Xenopus tropicalis: one gene and its partners. The main gene of each other region encodes a partner of the protein of the gene in region 2 in a complex. Links are inferred from orthologs where the notes say so. Each region holds a gene or a part of one and is shown on either strand. Other genes may lie near its edges.

Evidence for each region. Proteins that work in one complex are often made in the same cells at the same time.
Region 1: polr3c (region 2) and polr3g share a complex: the UniProt entries of both Homo sapiens proteins name them as parts of the RNA polymerase III complex. The link is inferred for Xenopus tropicalis from reciprocal best matches to the Homo sapiens genes POLR3C and POLR3G.
Region 3: polr3c (region 2) and polr3d share a complex: the UniProt entries of both Homo sapiens proteins name them as parts of the RNA polymerase III complex. The link is inferred for Xenopus tropicalis from reciprocal best matches to the Homo sapiens genes POLR3C and POLR3D.

The regions. Positions count from the first base shown.
Region 1 is NC_030677.2:178,946,970-178,950,903, forward strand, and holds part of polr3g (DNA-directed RNA polymerase III subunit RPC7), read right to left. Parts: intron 1,865-3,934; 5' UTR 1,863-1,864; coding exon 1,749-1,862; intron 721-1,748; coding exon 591-720; intron 1-590. UniProt on the Homo sapiens protein: DNA-dependent RNA polymerase catalyzes the transcription of DNA into RNA using the four ribonucleoside triphosphates as substrates.
Region 2 is NC_030684.2:141,783,240-141,786,560, reverse strand, and holds part of polr3c (DNA-directed RNA polymerase III subunit RPC3), read right to left. Parts: coding exon 3,259-3,321; intron 2,676-3,258; coding exon 2,595-2,675; intron 2,230-2,594; coding exon 2,178-2,229; intron 2,064-2,177; coding exon 2,003-2,063; intron 720-2,002; coding exon 569-719; intron 461-568; coding exon 359-460; intron 1-358. UniProt on the Homo sapiens protein: DNA-dependent RNA polymerase catalyzes the transcription of DNA into RNA using the four ribonucleoside triphosphates as substrates.
Region 3 is NC_030679.2:129,694,140-129,697,589, reverse strand, and holds part of polr3d (DNA-directed RNA polymerase III subunit RPC4), read right to left. Parts: intron 3,182-3,450; coding exon 3,138-3,181; intron 2,888-3,137; coding exon 2,739-2,887; intron 1,677-2,738; coding exon 1,552-1,676; intron 1,427-1,551; coding exon 1,255-1,426; intron 708-1,254; coding exon 439-707; intron 144-438; coding exon 1-143. UniProt on the Homo sapiens protein: DNA-dependent RNA polymerase catalyzes the transcription of DNA into RNA using the four ribonucleoside triphosphates as substrates.

The DNA.
Region 1 (3,934 bases), on a different chromosome or scaffold from region 2:
TGTCCACCAGATATACGTGACTTAAATACACTGGACTAAGACAGCTGGTACATTTCTTGAGGGGTGCCTAATAACCTGGTATCCCCTAGTGATTCTACCTTTCCTTCTTCTTTATAATTATCCAGTTCAAGTTTTCATTAAAAATGGCCTAAAATAATCTCATTGGGCTAATTTAATAAAAAGGTGAAAAGGATGATAATGATCTAATAACCTATTTCAATTTTTATTGGTTTGTGAAAACAAACATCTGGTTGCTATGAGAAACTAGACCTGGGCAAACATTGCTTCTGGGCAAACTTAATGCCTTTTAATACATATGGGGGATAGTTGCTTGAGTCTACAGGCAGTGATAAGTTCAGTGGCTTCCTAATACAGTGTAAATCAAAACAGCAGGAACCAGATCTATGTAAAAACAGCTCTTCCTTCTCTCAGCTCGATTCTATCAGTTGAACCCAAGCGGTTAAGTTTACTCTCATGTTGTGTATTTATACACATCTATATAGTTTTGTGTATCTATGACCTCACATTAGAAATTTTCTTTATATGCATTACTGGTGCTAAGTAGTATGCAATGCGTACACAGTACCTACTTTGTTTGTCAGCTTTTGCTCCCATATAGTATGGAAGGCATTTCATAGTTTTTCGCATTTCTTGTTTTAATGCAAGTATATAATCTTGATCCTCCCCTATTTTCAGAGGTACAGGTTTGAATTCTGTAGACTAAGAAAAAAAATATCAGACAAAAATTATTTGGTTTAACTCTTACCTTGCCTGTTGAGGCCTGCATGAATTTGTTTCCTCCAGTTAATAAAAACACTAGTGATGTAATAAAAACTCAGGTCTGGTATAAAGCGTCATGATGGTGGATGTTATCCAGAAAGCTCTGAATTACAGGAAGGCCATCCCATAGACTCCCATAGACTCAATTTTATTGATAAAATAACATTTCTTTTAAATTATTTCCTTTTTCTCTGTAATAATAAAAGAGTACCCTGTAATTGATCCTAATTAAGATAGAATGAATCCTTATTGGAGTCAAAACAATTCCACTTCATTTATTAATCTTTAAATGACTTTTTAGAATATATAAGGTATGGTATGCAAATTACAAAAAGATCCCTTATCCAGAAAACCCCAGGTGCGGAGCATTCTGGATAACAGATCCTACACCTGTACTACAGTTACCCCTGTGGAATGCCTGTGCTGCCAGCAGATTGGAACTGGTTGTAATTAAGTGAGCTCTCCAGCTTCCAGCTTAGTGTGAGCCCTCCAAACAGTATGGCATCTCTGTCGCTAGCCTGTTTTCCAGCCACTTGGGCTTTCATAGCCTGTGTAATTGTTGTGGTAATTACAGCTTTTTGGAGGTTTTACATCCTCTTGTCATAACTGTTCATTTTACAAATTTCATTTAGGCGCATATTAATCATGTAAATTAAAAGCAAGACAAAAACGTTTTCTGCCTTTCGCTCTAAATAAAGGTTCAAGGTATATTCAAGAGAAGCATTTAGGTAATTTTGTGTTAAAAGCCACACAAGTTTGAAAAATATGTGAGGAGAGTGGTATAGTCATTCCAAGTGCCCAAGATACACAATTTTGTTAAGTGGTTGCTAGATTGCTAGATTTGGAGCTACTGCCATAGACCATGTCCACTCTGTATTACTGAAATAAAAGGGCAGTGGAAGGAAACCATTTAAAAAAGCATTTCCCTGCAAGCTATACTCTTTCTATTGTATACAAAGATTACTTACTGGAAAGATTGGCAGTGGTGTTAGCTGAGTCTCTGGCAAAGATTCACCTCTTGAAAATCCAATTGCTTGGATGTCAAATGTAAAGGCAGCCCTTCCCCTCCCTTTGGCAGCCATTACTAATGCATGGGAAGAGAAACAAAATGAAAAACTAGAAAGGGAAGTTTGAGAACAAACTTCATGTTGGGTTGAAAAACGTGTCACTGACGGTTTTCACTGAATGAAATCTGATCTGTTGTTGGCTGCGCCTACTTTTTCTAACCTTGGACCACAGTCACATAGTAAAAACCACTGTGCAAAGTTTGGGGACCCTGGTTGTAATAGTGACTGAAAGTCAACAAGTGACATCTGATTGGTGGCTCCACCCACTTTTTCTAACCTGGAACTGCAGTTACCCAGTGACTAACTCTGCAATGTTTAGGGACCCTAGAATTAATAGTCAAAGAATGGCAGCAGTTTAAATTTAAACCAATAAAAGTCAATAGGTAAATTGTGATTGGTAGTTGATGGGTGTGCCAACTTTTTCTAACCTTGAGTTGAAGTCACCCAGTGACAAACAGTGGGCACCCTGGCATAAACAGTGTGAGAATGACAGCATTTTAAATTTAAACCAATAAAATTCAATGGATGAAATCTGATTGGATGACATTTAATGGGTGGAAATCGATTGGCTGTTGGTGGCTCTGCTTTGCAAAGTTTGGGTATTAATATTAAAACATATGAAGTCTATAGGTGAAATCTGATTGGCTGTTGTTGGCCCCGCCCACTGTTCTAAACTTGAACATAGTCACCCAGTGACAAACTATGTAAAGTTTGGGGACCCTGACATCAAAACAATAAAATTCAATAGGTGAAATATGATTGGCTGTTGGTGGCTCCACCCACTTTTTCAAAATTAACTGCAGTCCCCTAGTGACCAACTGTGAAAAGTTTGGGGACCCTGGGGATAATACTGTGAGAATGGCAGCAGTTAATATTTCCCCACTGAAAACAATGAAAGAAATGTGATTGGCTTTTGGCAGCCCCGCCCACTTTTTCTAACCTTGAGTACGTAGTCACCCAGTGACTGACTGTGCAAAGTTTGGGCACTCTGGCATCAAACCAATAACTCTGGGGACCCCGGTGTGTTGAATTTCCTCCAAGTCAACAGGTAAAATCTGATTGGCTGTTCACAGCTCCACCCACTTTTGGGCATCCAACAATCATAATATTTTTATTCAGGCTGACCCCATGACGGTGTGATTCATGTTTGGAGAGTGTAGCTTCAAAGCTGTAAGATTGGCAGCAGTTTCAATTTCCCCATAAAAGTCAATGAATGAAATTTGATTGGCTGTTGTTGGCCCCTCCCACTTTGAGGTCATCCAACAAATGTCACTGTTTCATTCGGGGGTGACACCATTATTATGTTATTCAAGTTTGGGGGATGCAGCTTCAAAGCTGTAAGAGTGGCAGCAATTTGAAAATCTTCCCTGTTAAAGTCAATGGGAAAATTGGGGTGTTCGGAGCGGCGCCACAAAAAGACGGGGGGCAGGATCAACCTGCTCTGCTATAGGGCGAAGAAGTGTGGAGAGATGGGTGTTGTACCCCTAAAACTGTAGGAGGAGTAGCATTTAGAAAATGGGGGGCGCTAAGAATAAGAAGATGACAAAGCTGAAGTCAAAGAACAGTAGGTTGAGCCGTACCATTGTATTGGAAAGGGGATCAGTCCGTACCATTTTGTTTGAGGGGGGGTCAGACCGTACTATTTTCTGGAGTTGGGGTTGGACCGTACCATTTTTTGGAGGGGGGGGTCGGACCATACCATTTTTTGGAGGGGGAGGGGTCGGACCGTACCATGTTATTGGGGGGGGTCGGACAGTACCATTTTTTGGAGGGGGTGTCAGGCCGTACCATTTTATTTGAGGGGGGGGGATCGGACCGTATCATTTTTTGGAGGGGAGGGTCGGATCGTACCATTTTTTTGGAGGGGAGGGTCGGACCGTACCATTTTTGGAGGGGGGGTCGGACCGTACCATTTTTTGGAGGGCGGGGGGGTCCGACCCCCCAAAATAAAATGGTACGGTCCGACCCCCCTCTAAAAAATTGTACATCCATCCCCCCCACTCGAAAAAAATGGTACGGTCCATCCCCCTCCCCGCTCTTAAAAATGGTAGGGTCCAACCCCCCCAAAATAAAATGGTACGGTCCGA
Region 2 (3,321 bases):
ACCATAAAACTATGGCACATAAGGATTCCCCTGTACTAAGCACAATTCAGCAGGAACAGCCCCCTAAGTTTGCCCATAGCCTGTACAGAGAGATACCATAAAACTATGGCACATAGGGATTCCCCTGTACTAAGCACAATTCAGCAGGAACAGCCCCCTAAGTTTGCCCATAGCCTGTACAGAGAGATACCATAAAACTATGGCACATAGGGATTCCCCTGTACTAAGCACAATTCAGCAGGAACAGCCCCCTAAGTTTGCTCATAGCCTGTACAGAGAGATACCATAAAACTATGGCACATAGGGATTCCCCTGTACTAAGCACAATTCAGCAGGAACAGCCCCTTGTCTTTCGTACCTTGTAACATCTCTGAAGTAACATCCGAGCACAGGGAAGGGTGTTGACGGTGTACAGGTAGAATGTTCTAGAAGGGGCATGATCTGGTGTCTTTGGAATCTCCTGCATATAAAAGAACACGTATAAGATCCCTGGGCTGTCTCCTGCTGGGCCACTCCGACAAACACTGGGGGGGGGGGGGGGCAGCGCTAGCTGACAGTCAGTACTGACCTGCAGGGACACCAGATTCTGAGAGAGCATTTTGTACAGCATTTCCTTGGCCTCTTTGGCTGGAACCATAGCAAAATCTTCCACTTGCTTCTGCTCCAGGTGCCTCTTGCGAAGGAGGAGGCGGAAAATTCTGGCGCAGCGCGAGCCGAACCTGCACAGAGTAAGGGGGGGGGGGTCAGGCATAAGTCACCTCCAGGTCTTGTGCAACTAAAACTCTCAGCACCTCTGCAAGACCCTATCTGATGCAAGGATGCAGGGCAGAAAATCACAAGTATCCTACCATTATCCGTATACTTCCTACGTAGCTTCCAGCTGCCGCCTAGGGTAGAGTCCTGCGCAGAACCATTAGCATAGCATTAGCATCAGCTAATTAGGATTTAGATTCGGTTCGGTATTCAGCTAATTAGGATTTAGATTCGGTTCGGTATTTGCCTAATTAGGATTTAGATTCGGTTCGGTATTCGGCTAATTAGGATTTAGATTCGGTTCGGTATTCAGCTAATTAGGATTTAGATTCGGTTCGGTATTTGCCTAATTAGGATTTGGATTCGGTTCGGTATTCGGCTAATTAGGATTTAGATTCGGTTCGGTATTCAGCTAATTAGGATTTAGATTCGGTTCGGTATTCGGCTAATTAGGATTTAGATTCGGTTCGGTATTCAGCTAATTAGGATTTAGATTCGGTTCGGTATTCGGCTAATTAGGATTTAGATTCGGTTCGGTATTCGGCTAATTAGGATTTAGATTCGGTTCGGTATTCAGCTAATTAGGATTTAGATTCGGTTCGGTATTCGGCTAATTAGGATTTAGATTCGGTTCGGTATTCAGCTAATTAGGATTTAGATTCGGTTCGGTATTCGGCTAATTAGGATTTAGATTCGGTTCGGTATTCAGCTAATTAGGATTTAGATTCGGTTCGGTATTCGGCTAATTAGGATTTAGATTCGGTTCGGTATTCAGCTAATTAGGATTTAGATTCGGTTCGGTATTCAGCTAATTAGGATTTAGATTCGGTTCGGTATTCGGCTAATTAGGATTTAGATTCGGTTCGGTATTCAGCTAATTAGGATTTAGATTCAGTTCAGTATTCGGCCAATTAGGATTTAGATTCGGTTCGGTATTCGGCCAATTAGGATTTAGATTCGGTTCCGTATTCGGACGAATCCCATACAATTGATTTGTGGGTTCGGCTGAACCCAAAAAACTGGATTTGGTGCGTCCCTAATTTAAAGGAGTAAAATATAGCTAATATAGATAATATAATAAGAAAAATTGGATAAGACCTGAAACCTGACCCCCATCTATACCCACATCCCGTAGGGTACCCGCTTTCCAGCTACTGTAACCCACAGGTACCCGACCTGCTGCAGGACTCCATTTTGCCCCACCTGCCCCATTTTGCCCCACCCCCAAAACCGCTGCCCCTTCTCTTGCCTCTCCTGTACGAGCGATTCCAGCGTCGCTGTGGCCAAGGAAGCGACCGCTTTGTGCAGATCTGTAAGTCCTGGTTAAGTGACCAACTGCACAAGAGGAGGGTGAATCTTACAGAGAGAGGGGCGGGAGGGAAGAGAGTCCCAAACCAATAAGGGATCGGACATATAAAGGATACTGATGACAAACATCCCCCCGCCGCTGTCACCAGACCGTCCAACATACTCCAGCTGTGGGGAGGGGGGGGGAGATAAAGGGAAGCACAGCACTGATATTAGACTCATCTTGTACATAACAGGATATGTGCAAAGGAAAAAAGCTTCCCTCCCAACCTACGGATACATGAGTGTAACCAAGCCCTGCAAGTGCCAAACTGGAATATATATATCAGCAAATTTTGCCCTTTTACACCCTTCCCCTTGAGCCGCCATTTAGTGACGGGCTGTGTGCTCCCTAAGAGATCAGCTGACAGGAAGTGATGCAGCTCTAACTGTAACTTTGCCCATACTAATATACAGAGACTTACATTGTTTGGGGGTATAGTTTCCCTTTAATCTTAACCCTTTGTAAGCATCAGACACTCTGCGTCACTTACCGGATCATCCGCTAGCAGGGTCAGATACTGATCCAGAACTTGTTTGGAGATATTGTAGCCTGTAGGGAGCGACCTGAAGATCTTAAACAGAAAAAAAGCAAAGTAAAAGCGGAGCTGAGCATAATAACCTCTTGCACCTTTGAATTAATCATTTATGTTGTCAGCAGCCTCTCCCAGAGGTGGGCCAAGCCGGCACCCTAGACACCTCGGCCAGGCACCCTAGACACCTCGGCCAGGCACCCTAGACACCTCGGCCAGGCACCCTAGACACCTCGGCCAGGCACCCCAGGGAACTCGGCCAGGCACCCTAGGGAACTCGGCCAGGCTGCACTAGACACCTCAGCCAGGTTGCCCTAGACACCAAGTTCTCTGTGAGGCTGCAATTTTATTACTATAGTCATCTTGCATTATTCCAACCCTCTTCTATTCATATTCTAGTCTCTAATTCAATTCACTGCTTGGTTGCTAGGTTAACTTGGACCCTAGCAACCAGATAGCTGCTGAACAAAAAGCGAAATAATTTAAAAACCACGAACAATAACAATTGAAAATGGTCTCAGAATATTACTTTCATAATATTAATAGTTGATTCAAAAGTGATTATACTGTGGCCCCCTAACCATGTAGTACAGTGAATATCTTTGAATGGAGGGCTCATACTGACCTCATTGGATGACAGCGGCTGAGTGTATGCCGCACTGGATGAAGTGGTGACCTCGCTCATTCT
Region 3 (3,450 bases), on a different chromosome or scaffold from region 2:
GAACAGGATGTGCCCATAGTAACATCCAGCATGACTTTGCCCAGCTTAAGCTGAACCTTGCCAGACTTGCGTACAAATAGCTTCCCAATATGGCCTTCTGACACATCCCGCAAGGTACAGCTGTCTTCTGCAGCCTTCGAGTCCTACAAGTAATTGAGAGGCAAGATTTAGAACTACTACCCGCTAACACCAGTGCATAAAAAAAGAATGTTTTGTTAACTGGAGTCCCCAGTGCAGACCTGAAAGTTTAGTGTTTGAACTGATGGAAGCAGAGGTGTGTCACTACAAGTTAAACATAAAGTACCTGTGCTGTGGAATATCGTGGTGCTATATAATGCATAATAATAGCCGAGATCAGGGGCGGGCCGAGCCGACCGGGCGCCCTAGGCAACCCGGTCGGCCACCTCGTCCCTGCACCTGTGCAGTAGCTTTATGTACCTGTCCTTTGTCCTTGACCAGTAACATATGGCCATCCTCACTCTGCACTTCAGTCTTTGTAGGCCTTGTCTCTAAACTTGGAGGCTGTCCAGGCAGAGTGTCAGGAAGTTGCACAAAAAAGAGACATTCTTCATCAGAAACCCTCAAAGATTCCAGCATCTCTGGGAAGGACACATCCTTGGTTACAGGGGGTTTCTTAACAATGGGAACTTTTGCAGAGGGCACCCCAGGCTTCCATGCACCAGCATCCTCCATTGGTTCTTCCTTTACTAGCAAGGGGAAGAGAAAGCATGTAGTGTAATGTGCATGTTGGCCCTTTAAAAGGCATATCAGCTTATTCAGATTGGTACTTTGAGCACTATACAATTAACATTAAACTTCTGTTTTTAATGGTTTTTTAGACTGCTAATACCAGGCTTTAAATTTAGCAACTATCTTTGAAGGTCAGAGTGTCAGCACTCCTGTCTGTGCACTTCCTATACATACATAAGCCTAGGGTTGCAGACTCTCAGTTAAGCCAAAAGCCTGGTATAAGTAGTTGGAAAATGCAAACATCTAAGAAACTGCTAAGATAAAAAATAACTATAAATTGCAAAAGTGCTCAGAGAAAAAGTAGTGCTAGAACCAGTATGATCTTCAATTTGTCATGAATTAATTTTAAGGTTTAATGAAAGTTTAATTTTCTCAGTAAATGTAGTCCAGTTCCATTACGGATGCTAGGTTTTTTGCTCTACATTGAGAACTTCTGCCATGGTATCTGGAGAGCTCTTTGTAAAGGAAAAGTGCAAAGACAGTTGTGTCTACAAAGGACATTACCTTTAACCTGAGAAGTATCATCTACTTCCATCTTTTCCTCTTTAAGTTGTCCTTGAATGGGCTTTATATCCTCCTCTTCATCCACTTGCCTAAAGAGCCAGCCAGAATGGGCAAGTGGGATCTGCACTGGATGGTTCTGAGAATCATTCCTGAGGCCAGGGTCATCAAGAAACTAAGAGGGAAAAAAAGACAAAAATTCTTATTCTCACTAACTTCTATGTACAACACATTTAACTACTATTTAAAAAAGTACTGTACTTTGTCTTTCATTTAAATTCTCCAGAGTAAACCATTTACCTTGTCATTTTCCAGCATGCGGAGGATCTCCTTCGTCTCCTCTTCAGTTTCTCGCTTCTCTCGTTTTATGTTAATGATGTGTGATGGGCCAAAGTCAGCAGATTCTGAAGGTCCATCCCATCCAACTATAATTTAAAGGGAGGGTACAGTCAGAACAGATGTAGATTGTACTTTTTGACACAGTTGCAAATTATGTGAAGAAGTCACTTTAGTTTAAAACAAGAAGATGAACCAAAAAGCAAACGCACCCCCAAAAAAAATATATTCAGCCATTTAGCCATTCTTGCTTGTTTCTTACATACAGGTAAGCCCAAGGGTAATAGGTCATAGCCTTAAATAATACACACACAGCAATGAGCTGTAAGGATTGTAAAGACAAATTCAATGCTCCACATTGCTGTTTCCTAAGTGTATTTATCTAGGGATGCACAGAACCCCAGATTTGGTTTGGAATCTGAACGTAATTACAGCCTTTTTTAATTTGAAATATCCGTCATGTATGGCTGAACCAAAACCAAGCCCATTATATCATATGACTGGACAATACTATTATACATCTGCTGTAAGTTTGGGGTGGGGCGAGGATTTTAACCATTAGAATATATAAAATAGGGTTTGCATTTTATTCAGGAATCTCTTGTAGTGGATTTGGTATTTGGCCAAATCTTAAAATTGTGGGTGTGGTGCATTCCTGTATGAGTCATCTGACCTGAAACACTAATGCTTTAAATGAGAATTGAAATGTAACCATTACCCCTTGCATCCCTCTGAGCTATAATCTGTGGCATTGCCACCCAGTGCTGGACACCCTGTAAGAGATCTTCAGTGGCGCCACACTCATAGGCAGTCTCCAACCCACTCCCCCCCAGCGCAATGCTGCCCTCAGCAGGGCAAGCGGTAGCAGGTGGCAACGTTTCTAGTGGCTGGGGAGGGGACCTATCATGCAGCATACAATTTATGCCTCTGGCTATAATGCATTAGGGTATCCCGTGTCTTCTAAATTGCACTATGTGCTGCTATGTGTTAAATACATTGCCATATATAAGGCAAAAATCTGCCTCACTTGAGTCGCAAACTGTCTTGTTAATTACTGTGACTGGTTCAGCTTTGTACCAAAAATGTTACATTCTGCTTTATGCCAATTATCTGGAGCTCCCAGTAAAAACCAGTTCCTTCCCATGCTTTACCTTTCTTCTTGAGCTGTTCAGCTGGTCCCTGCTCAAAGATGGAGTGACTCTGTATGACTTGTGGCTTCCCACGCCCTCTTCCTGCTCCATCTCGACGGTCCCTTCCACGCTCTGCACGTTCTACCTTAACAGACACTTCCTCCTTGGGCCTGGAAACAACACAAGGAATTGTGAAAAGAAAGTGGGGGAGACCAGAAAGAGAATGGACAGAATAGAAGCATGGGGATAAGACTACAGATAGATATAGAATAAAGCAAACGTAAAACTGTTATAAGTGAAGCATCACAAGAAAGTCAGAAAATAAAGGTGTAAAAATAGATACAGTAAAAAAAAAAAAAGAAGATAAATAGATGGGTACAACAAAGCAGGAAAGTTCCCTTTAGGTGCCATTTTCCTTACTCTTCTTTTATCTTTCTACTGATGATGTTGGGAGCAAATGTTTTCTGTAAGAGAAGAGATAGTGCAGGTCTTTAAGACATGTCAAAACTCTTATATTATTAGACATACAGAAAAAAAACGATAAAATGTATGTCCTTACAGCCTTCCCATACACTGATTAAATAACATGAAGTAGGATTTATACAAAATATCAGTGCAATTTGTATTGACCTACAATACAAGGGAGTCCGTTCTTGAAGATGAACTGATAGAGATGTTTGGCAAGAACACTAAAGGCTCATTTACAAAGCCCCCTTGCAGTGTGCAAAAAAAA